Linked DNA regions of Arabidopsis thaliana. The protein of the gene in region 2 interacts with the protein of the main gene of each other region in a pairwise test. Each region holds a gene or a part of one and is shown on either strand. Other genes may lie near its edges. The genes, in order: NCBP, eIFiso4G1 and AT1G72730.

Region 1 (4,718 bases), about 17 Mb from region 2:
TGATACAATCATCGACTTTGGGCCTATCCTCTCAGCCATGTGTTTCTGTAGGAAGAGTTGTCGCGGAGAGAAGCATCGTGTGGCTTGTATTCCATGACATATGCATGAGGCAACTTCAAATGCCGCTTGATTGAGTCTCTCAAACCCATCACTGCCTGTTTAAGGAAAACATTGCACTGTGTAAGTACCAATCAAAAGGAGAGGGAGAGAGACAGTTCTTCTTGTGAACAGTTTTCTCACCTGATGGTCAGAAGCATTGCGATTCCATACACTAATGATGTCCTCGTTGAAACGGACACTCAGTACTGCCCCACATATGTTATCAGCATCATCAAGCTGGTCGCCTACCAACGCAAGAAGCTGAAGAAAACAAATAAACGGAAGAGTATTTAACATGATTCTCAGACCCTAAGTATGTAAAATGGATTATAAATAACATTGACAAAAGGGTTTCTTTTGAATAAAGTAGAAAGGTGTCAATACTCCAATAGTAGTGCCCACAAGAAAATAAAACTCACCAGATCCTCCCAGAAGCGAGCAGATACAACTTTTGAGAAACGTATGATCCACTTTCCTCCATTGCAGTTGGCACCATCCTAAAGGTGATGAATTTAGCTAGTTTAGTTGGTTTATTGAAGAAGATACAACTCTTGAGAAACTTTTGTTGTATAAAAGGTTCCCTCTATATCGATGATCCAGATAAAAACACAATACGAAAAATCAACACAGGGGAATACGTACCTCCCACAATGGACGAATCCCATCCTTAAAGAAATGAAGATCTGTTGGACTAGGCAAGAGAGAAGAACGAGCAAGGTGACAGTAGCAGGCCCAAAATCCTTCAACCTAGTTTATAAAAGCCATAACTCAGAAACGAACAAGATAGTATCGCAAACAGCTTCAACAATGAACTTCCAGTAGTATATTTAGACTTACCGTGCTGAATTCTACCATCTTCTTGATGTTATCTTCATAAGACTGGTTCCGAACCCCTGGTGTGCGACGAGTGTACCATATCGAAAACTTGTACTGCATCATTACCAAAAATCCTAGAGTCACTGAGCCAGTACTTACTCTTAACAATGAAATCAGTTCCTCTAAATCAATCTGCCTTGTTCTAGCTACAATCAATACCACCAATACGAAAATCCTATAACATTTGAGCTCACATACATCTAAACAAATTCGCAAAACCTAATTTGAAAACAAAAACTCCAACAAACAAAGATTTAGAATCCGAATCTTCCACTACTCTAGCTATAAACCGTCATATACAAAGTTCAGAAATCTTTGACGAACGGGAATCAAATTTTCAGCTAAGATCAGATTCAAATTGCAAATGAATCGATACTAAGGATAAAGGACAAACCCGTAAAGGATGGTCTCCATCCTTGAGCTCACGAGAGCGGCGTTCCTCGGAAACAGAGTCGGTAACATAGTGTGACTTGATGCTGTCCATGTTTCCCGAGTCCCTGATCTCATCGTCTCTCCTATCCAAAACCTCCATTTTTTTCTCGATTAGAGCTTCACGCGTTCGTGCTTTCAAAAGCCCTAAAATTCCAATCAGGAAGAAGAAAGAGGAGGAGAGAAGAAAAGAACTGTATTACTTTTCCACTCGGTCAAATACATAAAGGTCAAATTCTGGAGAAAAAAAATAGCATATGGGCCTTATTGGGTCTACTAAATGGGCCTTAGTGATTAGTTAGTTTTAATATCTCAATGATTTTCATTCTTTTTTACAGTAAACAAAATAAGAAACAGAAAATTCAAAAGTGGACAAAATGTATTAAGTATAGTTGTTGGTTATTACATAAACTAATCCAACCGGAACAAAAGAGATATGTCTTAAACACATACACATGCACCTATCACGGCAAGATTAGTGGTGTAGTGGAGAAAATTAAAAAAAAAAGGAATGTGTGACGAATGCGATTTGTCAAAAAAGAAAATTAAAAAAAAGAATCGATTTTTGGCGTTCTCCATCTGTAATGTAATGTTTCTGCAAAAACAAGTGACAATAAAAACTTTTTCATGGATCTGAGATTTTCTCCAAATCTATATTTGTGATTGTTTCGTGTAGTTTTTCTCTTAAAGTTGTGTTCTTTAAGCTCTCTCGTGCTCAATCTTACGTTTCCCTTTGGTTTGATTTCGTGTTTTTGTTATTCGATTTCACCTTTAACTTTTATCTAATCTCTTGTTTTTGATTTTGTAAATTGTAAAAAGTTTCTGGTGATTCTCTTAGCGAATTTGGGAAACTTTATCTGTATTTTTCTGTTTCGCCGTAGATTTAGGATCCTTAATTAATGAATTTGTGGGTTTCAATATTCCTCGTCTCTGCAATAGCTGGATCATGCTTACCTTCTGGGTTTGCTTACGTTGACGTTTGCAATCACGAATTCGAGGTGTTCCGATCCGTGATCGAGCAAAAATGTCCTCGTTCTTTGTATCCAAGCCCTCCTATCGAGGTACGTCATCATTGTTATAGCAAAACGAATATTTTTATCTTCGATTGGATTAGGCATGCGTTTGGTGTGCCTTTAAAGTGGAAGAATTTGCTTAAATATCATCTCTTGAAAATTCAGATGATAACTCTTCCATAATGTGATTTGTAAGGATCGATTCGAGCCCTCTTTTGCTTATTTGGCATGATATCACTTTAGAGTGTTGTGGTCGTGACAACAAGTCTCTTTTTTTCAGCTTTTGGTTGTGGTTTTCACTATGCAAAGCTTAATGAGAACGGTATAGGCTTGTAGCTTAACTTCACTGATGTTTTACCTTTGCTCCAATGTTTCTTGAGGTCTCAGAGGTTTTTTGAACGTGGTAGTAGTTTACCTGCAGTTAGAATTTTGAGGAATGTTCAATGGATATAGAGTCCCTTACTGTAAAAAGAAAGCTGGTGGTAATATGTTTGTTTCCAGTCAATATATTAGTTTATGATGAAATAATCTACTTAAATGGTTGGATTGTTTTGGTTGGAAAAGTGTATAACTAATGATGTATTTGTCACGATCATGCTTGTTTCTCCGATATGTGGGATCTCTCTTTTCTACTTAAGTTCTGCAATGAATTCCTTTTATTTGTGTCAACAGTGGTAAGCTACCAACAGAATCTCATCATGTCACCTGCAATGTATTAGCTTCAATTTCTAATGTTGAAATGCAGCAAAGATGTTATTGCAAAGAAATTAAATATGTGTGGGTGCTTCTATATAGGGTGCCTGTTTTTGTAACTCAAGTATCTTAATTTGTGTTCTTGTTAATGTAGGTAGATGGAGACTTGCTAGACAAACTCATGGATGCAAACCATGGAAATGCCTATATATCCATACTATTTTATACCTCACGGTGCCCGTTTTCACGTGCAGTACGCCCAAAGTTTGATGTTCTGAGTTCAATGTTTCCTCACATAACGCACCTGATTGTTGAGCAATCTCAGGCTTTACCATCGTAAGAACTTACTTAGAATACTTAGATTATTCTATTTACATCTTATCTGATATAGTGAGGCCATGGATCAATTGAACCATTCACAACAAATCCTGGGTGTTGATATCCCCCTTGCAGAAATAAAATGACTTGAATTACTTGTCAGATTGTTTAGATTTGCCAGTAATCAATCCGTCTTTTACACTGATCAGTAAAGTTTTTGGCTTAATGAGTTAGTTTTACAAAGACAGGACAAATAATTCAATATGACAGAAATGATGCTATGTGTGTTCATTGTCTCTTATTCTTGCACGCTTTGCTAGAGGCTACTTTTTAGTTTATTTGGTGAGCATCAAATGTAGATTAGTTAGGTTATTATGCTGTATAACCCTTTTAGCCTTATGAAATTGTTTCATGAGTAGCTTATCCTCTAAAATACTAAATGTTTTCATCATTTCTTTCCCATTTTTGGTCCATGTTAATTGATATCATGAATTTTTTTGTTCATATTGCAGTGTGTTTTCTAGGTATGGTATCCATAGCTTGCCTTCAATCCTGATGGTGAATCAAACAATGAAGATGCGATACCATGGTCCAAAGGATCTTGCATCCCTGATTCAGTTTTACAAGGAAACAACAGGTGAGAGTATGCTTCATGAAAAGCCAGACTGTGTCTCTGTTTGTACTTTCTGGTTTTGTTTTCTACTGTATCTGAATATATTAGCTCACAACTTATTAAAATCCTTTGAAGAAAATCAGTTAAACTTTTTTATATCTGTGTCTTTCCAGGTCTTAAACCTGTCCAGTATATGGATGAAGGTGAACCAACAAGCTTGGACACTGATGGAAACCTGATCACATGGCTACACAACGGGTCATCTATCAGAGAAATAGCAGAAAGAGAGCCATATATGGTACTTGCACTAATGTTTCTGTCTTTGAAACTGGCAATTTTGATCTTCCCCATCATGGGATCACGGTTGAAAACGTTATGGGCATTGTATGTTCCGCATCTGAGCTTGGGAATACTTGGTGAGACTAGCCAACTGTTTGGCCGTGCCCTACACATGATCGATGTGAGGAGACTATGGATAAAACTGAGACTCACCAAAACAAGGAACTTCCAAGAAAGAGCAAAGAACGCACTTGCATCAGTCTCACTAGGAAAATCTTCATCACAATCAGCCTAAAAGGGTGATTTAGAAATCCTTCACTGTCAATGAGCTTAGTTTAGATTACTTTACTTTACTGTCTGTGAGAGATCCTTTGACTGACATGTTTCTATACCTTTGG
Region 2 (4,718 bases):
CACGGGTTAGCCACACAAACAGCCTAGATGATTCAAACAAGACTTCATCTATGCTTGAGACATAGCATACACCTTCAGGATATCAGCAGATGTGATGCCAGATTCAATAAGTTGGCCCTTGAGAAGGTCATACTTTTCAGGGGTTAGCTTGTTCAGTATCCTGGACAAGAAAAGTATATCTTTGTAAGTGTGCATAGTCTATTTTAAAGATTTCATGTTGGCAGTAAAGGAAAGTTATACAAAAGTCTAGACAACTAATAACTGTCACAACGGCATTACCCTTTCACAGTCTTCAGAACACGATCATTTTCAGAAAGGTTTCCTCTTCTAGCTGACCAAGGAACTTCGGCTTTGACGAGGACAGGAGCTGGTCCACCCTGGTTCCACACGATATACAAATAAGTAAGAAAAATAAGAAATCATGCCAGAATGTAAAGGGCTAAGAAGAGGGAAAAACATTCATCTATTGATCAATTACCCCTTGGTTGGATGATATGTTTGCCCTTGAAAACTGGGAATTAGGTTGGTCTTGACGATTATATTGACTTGCTTCAACATACCTGGAATCTTTAGCTTCACGAAGATTATCCCACGACCTTTCCTCCCCAGAGGGTGGAGGTTGAGTAGAACGGCTACGCCAATCACGAGAGTCTGGCTCAGAGAAGCGACTTGCGGATTGAACGGGAACCTGAACCATTAAAATAAAAGATATGTGTTAAAAGTGAAACTTCATGAAACTATACCAAAATGCAAAATTTATGTTTCAACAAAACTATACCAAATTGCTTACGACACTTTCTCCACGTGCCCAAGTCCCTTCCTCACCAAACAGTTCAGCTGCAGTTTCCCGTTGGACTCTCAGAATTTCATCAGAGAGTTGAGTGGTCTGTATATATGCACAGACGTCAATGACCTCAACTAAGGAAGAACAAATACGAACAGCAGAAACTAAACCGGCTTTAATCCTATATTATTTAACTGGGATAATCACCTCTTTAAGCTCCAGGAGCTGCTCACGGGTGTACTTCACACGTTCACGGCCATCGAACCTCGAGTCTCCACCCTGAAACAAAAGCACAACCCAGGATAAATCTTCATTAACTAACACCCAATACACAAAATCATATAAGAAATAACGTATAAAGGAGACAAGGAACCACGAGTACTCAGTACAAAAGAAAGAGAGGAATAATTCTTTAACCATAAGGCCGAAATGAGTGATGAACTAAAGAAAAACTAGAAGAAATGTCAGTAGGTCCTTTATGAGCAAATAGCAGCTAACAAAATGCCCACCTAAAAGCCTACATATCATTATACGTCCATATTTACAGCAGAAACACATACTTGCGTGCGCCACTAAGAATCAGGACAAACAAACTGCTTGCATTACTCGTATTGACATATAAACCTATGAAGTTCAATTATGTATGTTGCAGACACCTATCAAAATCCAACATGAGCTCAGTAGTTATTACAAACACAAAGCATTAAAACTCGCAAATCAGAAAGATATTAGCCAATTCAGACATTTGAGAGAATCAAATCAGCAATATACCAAAGATTATAATTCCAAACAAAAAGGCTGCTGATTGCGACAAACCCGTAAAAAAGGATAAATTTTTAGCTCAAGCTAAGACAAGAGAGATAAAACAAATTCTAAATCAGAGGAAGAAGAGGGAGTTAGATCCAAATTTAGAGAGGGGACCCAGAAATGAGGGTACCTTGAAGGGAAAAGAGGAAGCAGGAGCACCACCATGAGGACGAAGGAGAGGTAGATCCGAAGATGAAAGAGAGCCAAAAGAGAGAGACGAAGAAGAAGAAGAGGAACCAAATAGTCTGTTTCCTCGACCGCCACCAGGTCTCAAGCTCAGAACCGTTTGATCGCCTTGCTGCATACCTCGATCTAATCCGCCTTAAGATCGAATCGAATCTCACAACAAAAATCGAAGAGAAAGGTAGAAGCTTTATCAGCGACGATGAATCGCTGACTCCGATAATCCAAGGAGAGGAGGGATCGGATTTCTGGGTCTCTCTCTCTCCTGCCGTTAGCGAAGAAGAGAAGAGAAGAGAAAAGTTGAGATTGAGAAATGAGAAGAAGAAGAAGAAGTCGAGAAGGAGACACAATCCCTTCTCTTTATTAGGGTTTTTTTCCTCTCTTTTTCCCGAACCAGACACACTTATAGCCTTAACGTTTTTTTCCGTTAAGATTACAGTTATGTCCTTTCATTTTGTTTTTTTGTCTCTTTATTTTGTCACCCTCATTGGGTTTTCCGTCAATGAACAATGTCAAATGGTAATAATGGAGCTTCCTCGGCTCGTGTTAGCTGCACCTCTAGCTCATTGTAAACATATTAAGAGACTGTAAAAACTACTAATCTGGCAAGTTGCAATCAAACTTCCACATCTCAATATCTTTACTTACAACAATTGTCTGTAACAAACTAAAGAGGCGTTAACACAAGCAGAGACGCAAAAGAAACAACTTCTGGCGTTTATAGACTCCTCCTTGTGTTTTGAATCAATACCTTCTCCTGAAGTTTCCTTGATACAGTAAGCAACTCTTCATGAAAGTGAGAAGTCGGTGGGCTGTGCAATGTTGACATCCTCAAACTCGTTATCATCTGCACATGGAAAAAAGAGATGCAATGCAATCATTATGCCGTTCATAGCTGTATAGATTCAGAATGCAATACAGCATCCTCAACAGTTGTGTAATCGAAACAAGGCTAAAAGAATAATAAGATTAGGAATCACATTCAGCTATATCACGGTCACAAAAGTTAGGCAAGACTCTTAAACATACCAAAAGATTATCCAGTGATAACAAAATAACTAAGATTCACAATAACAGGCTCAATTGAAGTCAATGGAGTTTGAAGGGTTCATATACCAAATAACATATAGAAAGATGAAGTGTGATAAGTAATTAACCAAGATGCATGATCCATTACGACATTTCAACAAGGAATTGAAAATTTCAGAATAAGAGGATCTAAGGTATAACCTTTCTTCAAAGTCAAAGCCACAACTGCATCATTCTCAACCTGAACAACCAAAAAAGAAGATGGTGACAAGCTTATAACTTTCAAATACACGCAAACGGAGGCAGTGGCTATGTGACCAAGTTCTTCTTTTAAACTTGAGCAATGACTCAAAAGATAAATATATTAGATAGTCAAACGTGTGATACCTTCTGATCTGCTAAGGATTTCGAATCCTCTAATACTTCTTCGGTAGACATTAAGACCAGACGCTGATTGTTAACTGGTTGCTCAATGAGAGCAAACAGTTTTTGCTTAACATCCAAAACAGTCTCTGTTGGATCACATTGGATAAAGTAAGTAGTTTTCATGCGCTTCACACGAATATACATAGCCTGCAAACAATATTACACAAGACTAATCAATACTACAACCAATATGGCCAAAATCTAACTTGTTCGATTGATTAAAGCAAAATTATTGCAAGACAAAAGTATCTCAACTTTTATTACTCCAAGAAGAACAGTAATAAATGTGATCAGGAAGCTGGAATTAAGAAGGGAAAAGATGTTCTCATTCCAAAAACATCTCTACTTCCCGTCAAATAAGCAAAGGATTGAATATACTAAGAACAATCAAACCCATCAAAGTGAACAAAAGAAGTAGAATGTTTACCATGGCAAGATAAGGATGAACAATTCACTCTTCTTCCGCTGCCGATTCACAAGACTTTAGAATCAAAATCTGTTCTAAGATGCCAATAAAAGATTAATCAGACTATCAGTGACAATTGACACACCTCAAAGAGTCAATTTAACTAAAGAGATGATCTAGTTATCCCCCAAATCTTTTCTTCTTTTGATATTCAAAAGAAAAGAAAAAAAAGCAAAGATTTTCAAAAATTACTGACTCAAATAACAAACAATGAAATCGACTTACCTAGATGGGTTAAGGACGAAAAAGTGACCACAAGAATGGATTAAGGATGAAATACTGGCAAAGAAATCAAAGTTGGCTTTTTTATAACTCGAGCTCAGAGCCCTACAAGGTAAGGAAGGAAGAAGAAAAATACCACTTTGGTGGCTTGTTTGGCTACAGATATAATACTAACATCGATTAGGCGTCGTACAAAACCCACTAAAAGACAGAGAGGGTTTGTTTTGTTTTAGGCTTTTATTTTTGATTGATTGAATATTAAAATACAATGCGAAAAGTCATATTGGGCTTATGGGCCGAATAACTTTATTTTATTTTTGTGGTGAAGTTAGGCCCAAATATTTTTTCGTCTTCTTCCAGTTCACGACTGAGATAATAATAATGCAAAGCAAGTTGCTATTTCCGAATGATCTCTCTCTCTCTATTCTTTTGAGTCCCAAACCCCATGGCAGGTTTGTCGCTGGAGTTTACAGTTAACACTTGGAATCTCAGGTCTCTCTCTCAAGTTCCATGTCCTTTAAGACATGGCTTTCGATTCCCGCGTCGGTTGACACGAAGAAGAACGATTCTCATGTGTTCTGGTTCGACATTTCTACCTTGTGTTCTCTCTTTTCTGATTTTTCTTCTGGATTGTGATTGGTGATGCATTTATTATAATCTTTTTAGGGTAATGTACACTTATTACCCTAAAAAAGAGATCAATTTGTTGATCGTTAAATTCCATAAGTGTTCTGGAATTGATGACAAAAATCTGCATTCGTTTCTCCACAGATTCAAGCTCTCAGTCGTGGAATGTTCCTG
Region 3 (4,718 bases), on a different chromosome or scaffold from region 2:
ATTCTGGTATGCATTATAAGTTGATGTACTGTAAGATCTCATCATCACTGGTGGCTGCTGGTTTGTTGGTTCTGATTCTGATTTTTCTCCATGACTGAAGCAATGGTACTTGTTGGTGATGCTGCTACTTCTGGTCTCTTCTCTGCATGACTTAGATCTGAACATCTTCACTTGCAAACAAACCTCAAAAAAAGATTGCTCTGCTTTTTTAGGAAGAAAAAGGAGATAGTTGCTTTTGGGTTTTATCTCCAACCTCTTTCTCTTCTGCTTTTTGTCACTTGCGAGTTTTTGACATATTTATAGAATGAGACATCACCTCTATATCTTGTTCAATATTTAGTGCAGTAATCACAACCTCAATACTGTATCTATTTAGTTACTCGAAGTTTTTTTTGTTTGTATATTGTTTTAGATGAGATTTGTTTGTTACATTTAAAAAAAAAACATTACTAGCGATTAGTTATCACTGTACTTAGTACAGTTTTGCATATTTATTTTTCCTAAGAAAATTTTGTAAGATCTCATGTCCTTTGGATTTACACATGGCCGCTTCTCACTTCATGAATTCGAGGGAAATTTTTGGGGCTCGTCCCCAACCTTATGTAGTATATATTTATTGTAAATTCAAGAGTAGAAAACTAGAAAATCAACAAAAGTTCATTAATGAAACTCAAGTAGAGAAAAGTCTTTAGTCTCATAGAGTATCCTTCCTTGTAAGCCACGTTCACAAAAAGATAAATAATGCCGAAATTCTTGATTGCCAAAAAAGCAAAATCATGTAATGAGTTATGTTCGCTTTTAGCCAAGAACTATAAATCTAAGTAGTAGCCTGAAAACAAAAATCAAAGCATAGAGAAGCTGCCAAAAAAAGGGGTAAACACAGCACTTTCTCAGTAAAAAACAGAAAAAAGAAAGGCTTCAGAGAAGATCAGCAACATTGCTTGGCAACTCCTCAACGACCACATTGTAAAACCTCTGAATATCAGCCATCATTCTCTCATCCTCCGATGTCATGAAATTGATTGCTACTCCCTTTCTCCCAAACCTTCCACTTCTTCCAATACGATGAAGGTAATTCTCCGGTTGGGTTGGGAGGTCAAAGTTTATGACCAGAGAGACTTGCTGAACATCGATACCACGAGCAAGGAGGTCAGTGGTTATGAGGACACGGGAAGACCCAGAGCGGAATTCGCGCATGATGATGTCTCTTGTGTTCTGGTCCATGTCTCCGTGTGTAGCTGAAACAGTGTGGTCACGGCTTCTCATTTTGTCGGTTAGCCAATCAACCTTACGCCTTGTGTTCACAAAGATGACGCTTTGAGTGATGGCCAGTGTCTCGTAGAGATCGCATAGTGTCTCGAGTTTCCACTCTTCCTTGTCTACATTGACATAAAACTGCTTGATACCTTCAAGAGTCAGCTCGTCTCGCTTGACCAGAATCCTGACTGGTTTGTTCATGAACTTCCTTGTGATCTCAAGGGCTTCGGGAGGCATTGTAGCAGAGAAAACACCAACCTGAACCTTGGAAGGAAGAAGCTGGAAGATGTCGTATATCTGACAGAGAAATCAAATTATAAGAACAAATGACTTGATTTTATCAGAGAGAAAAAGAAAATGTGAATGGGAGATTAAACAAGATTAAACCTGATCCTTGAAACCACGAGAGAGCATTTCATCAGCTTCATCAAGAACAAACATTTTGATTGCATCAGCACGGAGGGATTGTCTGCGTAACAAGTCAAAGACACGACCAGGGGTTCCAACAACAACATGAACACCAGACTGAAGAACACGTTGATCCTCACGAACACTTGTTCCACCAACACAAGCCTGAGCCTTGACGCCAAGGTAGTCACCAAGTGCCCTCATAACCTTTTCAATTTGCTGGGCAAGTTCTCGGGTAGGTGCCAAAACAAGAGCTTGGCATTGAACCAAACTAATATCGAGCTGCTGTAAAACACCAGAGCAAAAGGTAGCGGTCTTTCCAGTTCCAGATTGAGCTTGCTGGATCACATCAAGACCCTTGCAGAATGGAATAATTCCTCTTTGCTGAATAGCAGAAGGCTTCTCGAAACCTAATGATAAATAACAAAACCAATATGAGGTTGTTTAAGAGTAACAGTACTAAGCTTTGAAACAAACAAAAGAAAATACAAAACTAGACAGAAACAATGAAGGTATGTATAGAATGTGTTCTCAAAGGAAATACTTCACTTACCGTAAGCATAAATACCCCTGAGAAGATCTGGTTGCAATTCCATTGCATCAAAGCTGTCGCAAACTTCGTCATAGTTAGTGTAGAATGTTTCCTCTCCTTCCTCGCCGAGACTAGAAAGTATTACACAAGTCAGTTCTTGGTTGTTATAAAGGGATTCAGATATTAAGATACTAAAATTTAACTCACATGGCATTCATCTTAGTATCAAACTGACGAGGATCATATTGAGTTCCATCAGATGCCATTCCTGCCATGACTGGACAAGCATAACAAAAATATGAAATCGACATTAGAAAAAAAAAACAGATTACAATTTATAATCGAACTCGTTGTCTCTGAGATCACATAACAAACACGTAAAAGGTGATAAAAACATAGAAGCACCAAGAGAGATAGAAAGAGCAGAAGCAAATCAAGCATTCATCTTCGTAAAGTCAACTGCATAATCCTAAGGATTCAATTAATGTAACCAAAACATAACCAAGTCGCAGTAATAGAACATCTAAATCATCCTTGTACAAAAACCGATCCTTTACGAATCAGCATTGTATTAGGATGAAGCAAACATGAATCAAACAATATCAAAACCTATAACTTCTATAAAAGCAAGCACAATGGGGATCCAAAATACAAATCATACAAAAAGAAGAGAGATTCAAACAAACCTTTGCTGTTATCAAATTGAAGAGCGATTGAGAGAGAAAGATTGAAAAGATAGAGACAAAGACCAAACTCGTAGGATCTGCGCCGTGGGGTTGAAAGAAGAAGAAAAGACTGCTCCTTTATACTTCCACCCTTGTAACTACTTACGGTCTTTTTTTTTTTTTAGGTTTTACTTTGCTTATTCCAAGTAGGAAAAGGAAAACAACTTAAATATCTTCTTTCCCGATTTGCCCTCTAAACTTTTAATATATTTATTACTCCAATTAATGGTTTTGGACCCAAAAAAAAATTAACATTAAAATTCGATGTAAAGAAATTTATATAAAATTATACGAAAGTAACTTCGCTAATGTAAAAATATGTATGTAGGTTCAGGAATTTAAAACCAAAAAAGCCACGCCTAGTAAATTAATTTAGTTTTCTTTTTATATATTATTATCAACACCATTACGGAGATAACTGAAGAGAGCTACAAGGAATGTCCCATAGATTCAATTCAAGCCAAGAGCATAGTCTCCCCACAGGAACCTGCAAAACAGACCATATAATACCAAAGTTAGAGACGTTTTGTTTTGTTTTGCTTAGCCAATAATGAGAAAAGAGTCTGGCTTTTTCTTACATAGTTCATGCATCTCAGTAGCTATGACCAGGAGTTTTCTATTTTCTTCTGCAATCTTTGTCATCTTCTCAAACTCTTCTGCTGCTAGTTTGGCAACGTCTATTTTATTCTCCGCCTCTACGACTTTACAGGCTGCGGTTATTGCAGCTTCCTCGATCATCTGTTGTGAATCAGCAGAGGTCTGATTGTTTGCTTGGCGCAGCTTCGTATGTGTCTCCTTTGGTTTTGGGACACCTATTTTTGTTCCTGATGGATCGGGTATCTTATAGAAGTTCTGTATCTGTTATATGTTGGATTGAACAACACAGAAAGAAAAACCAAAGACATAGCATGAGAAGGCTTTAAAGAACATTGTCACTGCTTCAGTTATTAATTCAGTGGATTCTAAACCATGCTTCATTGGCTCAGACAGATATGGACCAGATAGTTTTAAACACCAATTGATGAAGATGGTTTTTTTTGGGAATTTTAAAAGAAAATGGGAACTCATTAAAAAACACAAGAAAAGTGAGATTCAAGACTTACAGATTTGAAGGTGCTAACCTTTTCAAGTTTGCTCTGAGCTGCAAGCCTCCTCAGTCTTGTACTAAGGATTCTTCTAAAATTTGGCGGTACTTCATGCCTGGGCTGCTCTTTCCACAGTAAACCATTGTTAGCACTCAGTCGTAAGGTCCAATACAAAAGCTATTATATAGCCAAATGTGATAAAAGAATAACAGAAAGTGACCAAATTTAAGTAAAATCAAGAGTTCTAACATTTTTTCAGATATGCATAGTGGACAGCTTCACGACAAGTATTATCATACTATAAAACGTCAAAGTACAAATAATTAGTAGTATAAGACTTTACATTTAGAACTCGGTGTTCTCATTTGAGAAGGACGAATCATCTAAGATTGCTGATAGTAGTAATAAGCCATTTGCACAAGTCAATGTAAGATAGAGTTTACACGTGCCAATAACATAACTATCCCTCCCACATATATAGATGATGTCTCTAATAATCTGTTAAGTAGTTTACAAAGCGAGCACATATAATTTTCTGATCTGTGCATAATAAATAGCAGAGAGAAATTTGTCAAACCTCAATGAAATGATAAATGGAACTGACATCAGATCCATTACCATCGGCTAAAGCAGAGAGAGCTTCAAATATCACCCCGTCATACCTGAAAATAGGGACATATCAGAAGTTTAGCAATACATGATGAAGATTAT

What was found.
Region 1: the proteins of eIFiso4G1 (region 2) and NCBP interact in a two-hybrid assay, tested with the Arabidopsis thaliana proteins (one large-scale study listed by BioGRID).
Region 3: the proteins of eIFiso4G1 (region 2) and AT1G72730 interact in a two-hybrid assay, tested with the Arabidopsis thaliana proteins (one large-scale study listed by BioGRID).

Annotation. Positions count from the first base shown.
Region 1 is NC_003076.8:5,989,082-5,993,799, forward strand, and holds the start of NCBP (Putative cap-binding protein), read right to left. Parts: upstream 1,601-4,718; 5' UTR 1,508-1,600; coding exon 1,370-1,507; intron 1,030-1,369; coding exon 937-1,029; intron 847-936; coding exon 742-846; intron 597-741; coding exon 519-596; intron 361-518; coding exon 241-360; intron 156-240; coding exon 24-155; 3' UTR 1-23. Other genes in the region: APRL7 (APR-like 7), read left to right, coding at 2,304-2,465, 3,265-3,446, 3,941-4,065, 4,215-4,615. UniProt on the Arabidopsis thaliana protein: Recognizes and binds the 7-methylguanosine-containing mRNA cap during an early step in the initiation of protein synthesis and facilitates ribosome binding by inducing the unwinding of the mRNAs secondary structures.
Region 2 is NC_003076.8:23,436,932-23,441,649, reverse strand, and holds the start of eIFiso4G1 (MIF4G domain-containing protein / MA3 domain-containing protein), read right to left. Parts: upstream 2,151-4,718; 5' UTR 1,896-2,150; coding exon 1,722-1,895; intron 1,350-1,721; exon of another isoform or gene 1,244-1,349; intron 1,064-1,243; coding exon 992-1,063; intron 887-991; coding exon 779-886; intron 689-778; coding exon 479-688; intron 378-478; coding exon 280-377; intron 161-279; coding exon 73-160; intron 1-72. Other genes in the region: AT5G57860 (Ubiquitin-like superfamily protein), read right to left, coding at 2,563-2,621, 3,005-3,044, 3,191-3,376, 3,657-3,659; ADCL (D-aminoacid aminotransferase-like PLP-dependent enzymes superfamily protein), read left to right, coding at 4,363-4,498, 4,689-4,718.
Region 3 is NC_003070.9:27,377,122-27,381,839, forward strand, and holds AT1G72730 (DEA(D/H)-box RNA helicase family protein), read right to left. Parts: upstream 3,062-4,718; 5' UTR 2,884-3,061; intron 2,475-2,883; 5' UTR 2,473-2,474; coding exon 2,405-2,472; intron 2,329-2,404; coding exon 2,219-2,328; intron 2,076-2,218; coding exon 1,645-2,075; intron 1,555-1,644; coding exon 919-1,554; 3' UTR 638-918; downstream 1-637. Other genes in the region: AT1G72720 (hypothetical protein (DUF3511)), read right to left, coding at 1-165; AT1G72740 (Homeodomain-like/winged-helix DNA-binding family protein), read right to left, coding at 3,378-3,409, 3,501-3,780, 4,026-4,127, 4,585-4,669. UniProt on the Arabidopsis thaliana protein: ATP-dependent RNA helicase which is a subunit of the eIF4F complex involved in cap recognition and is required for mRNA binding to ribosome.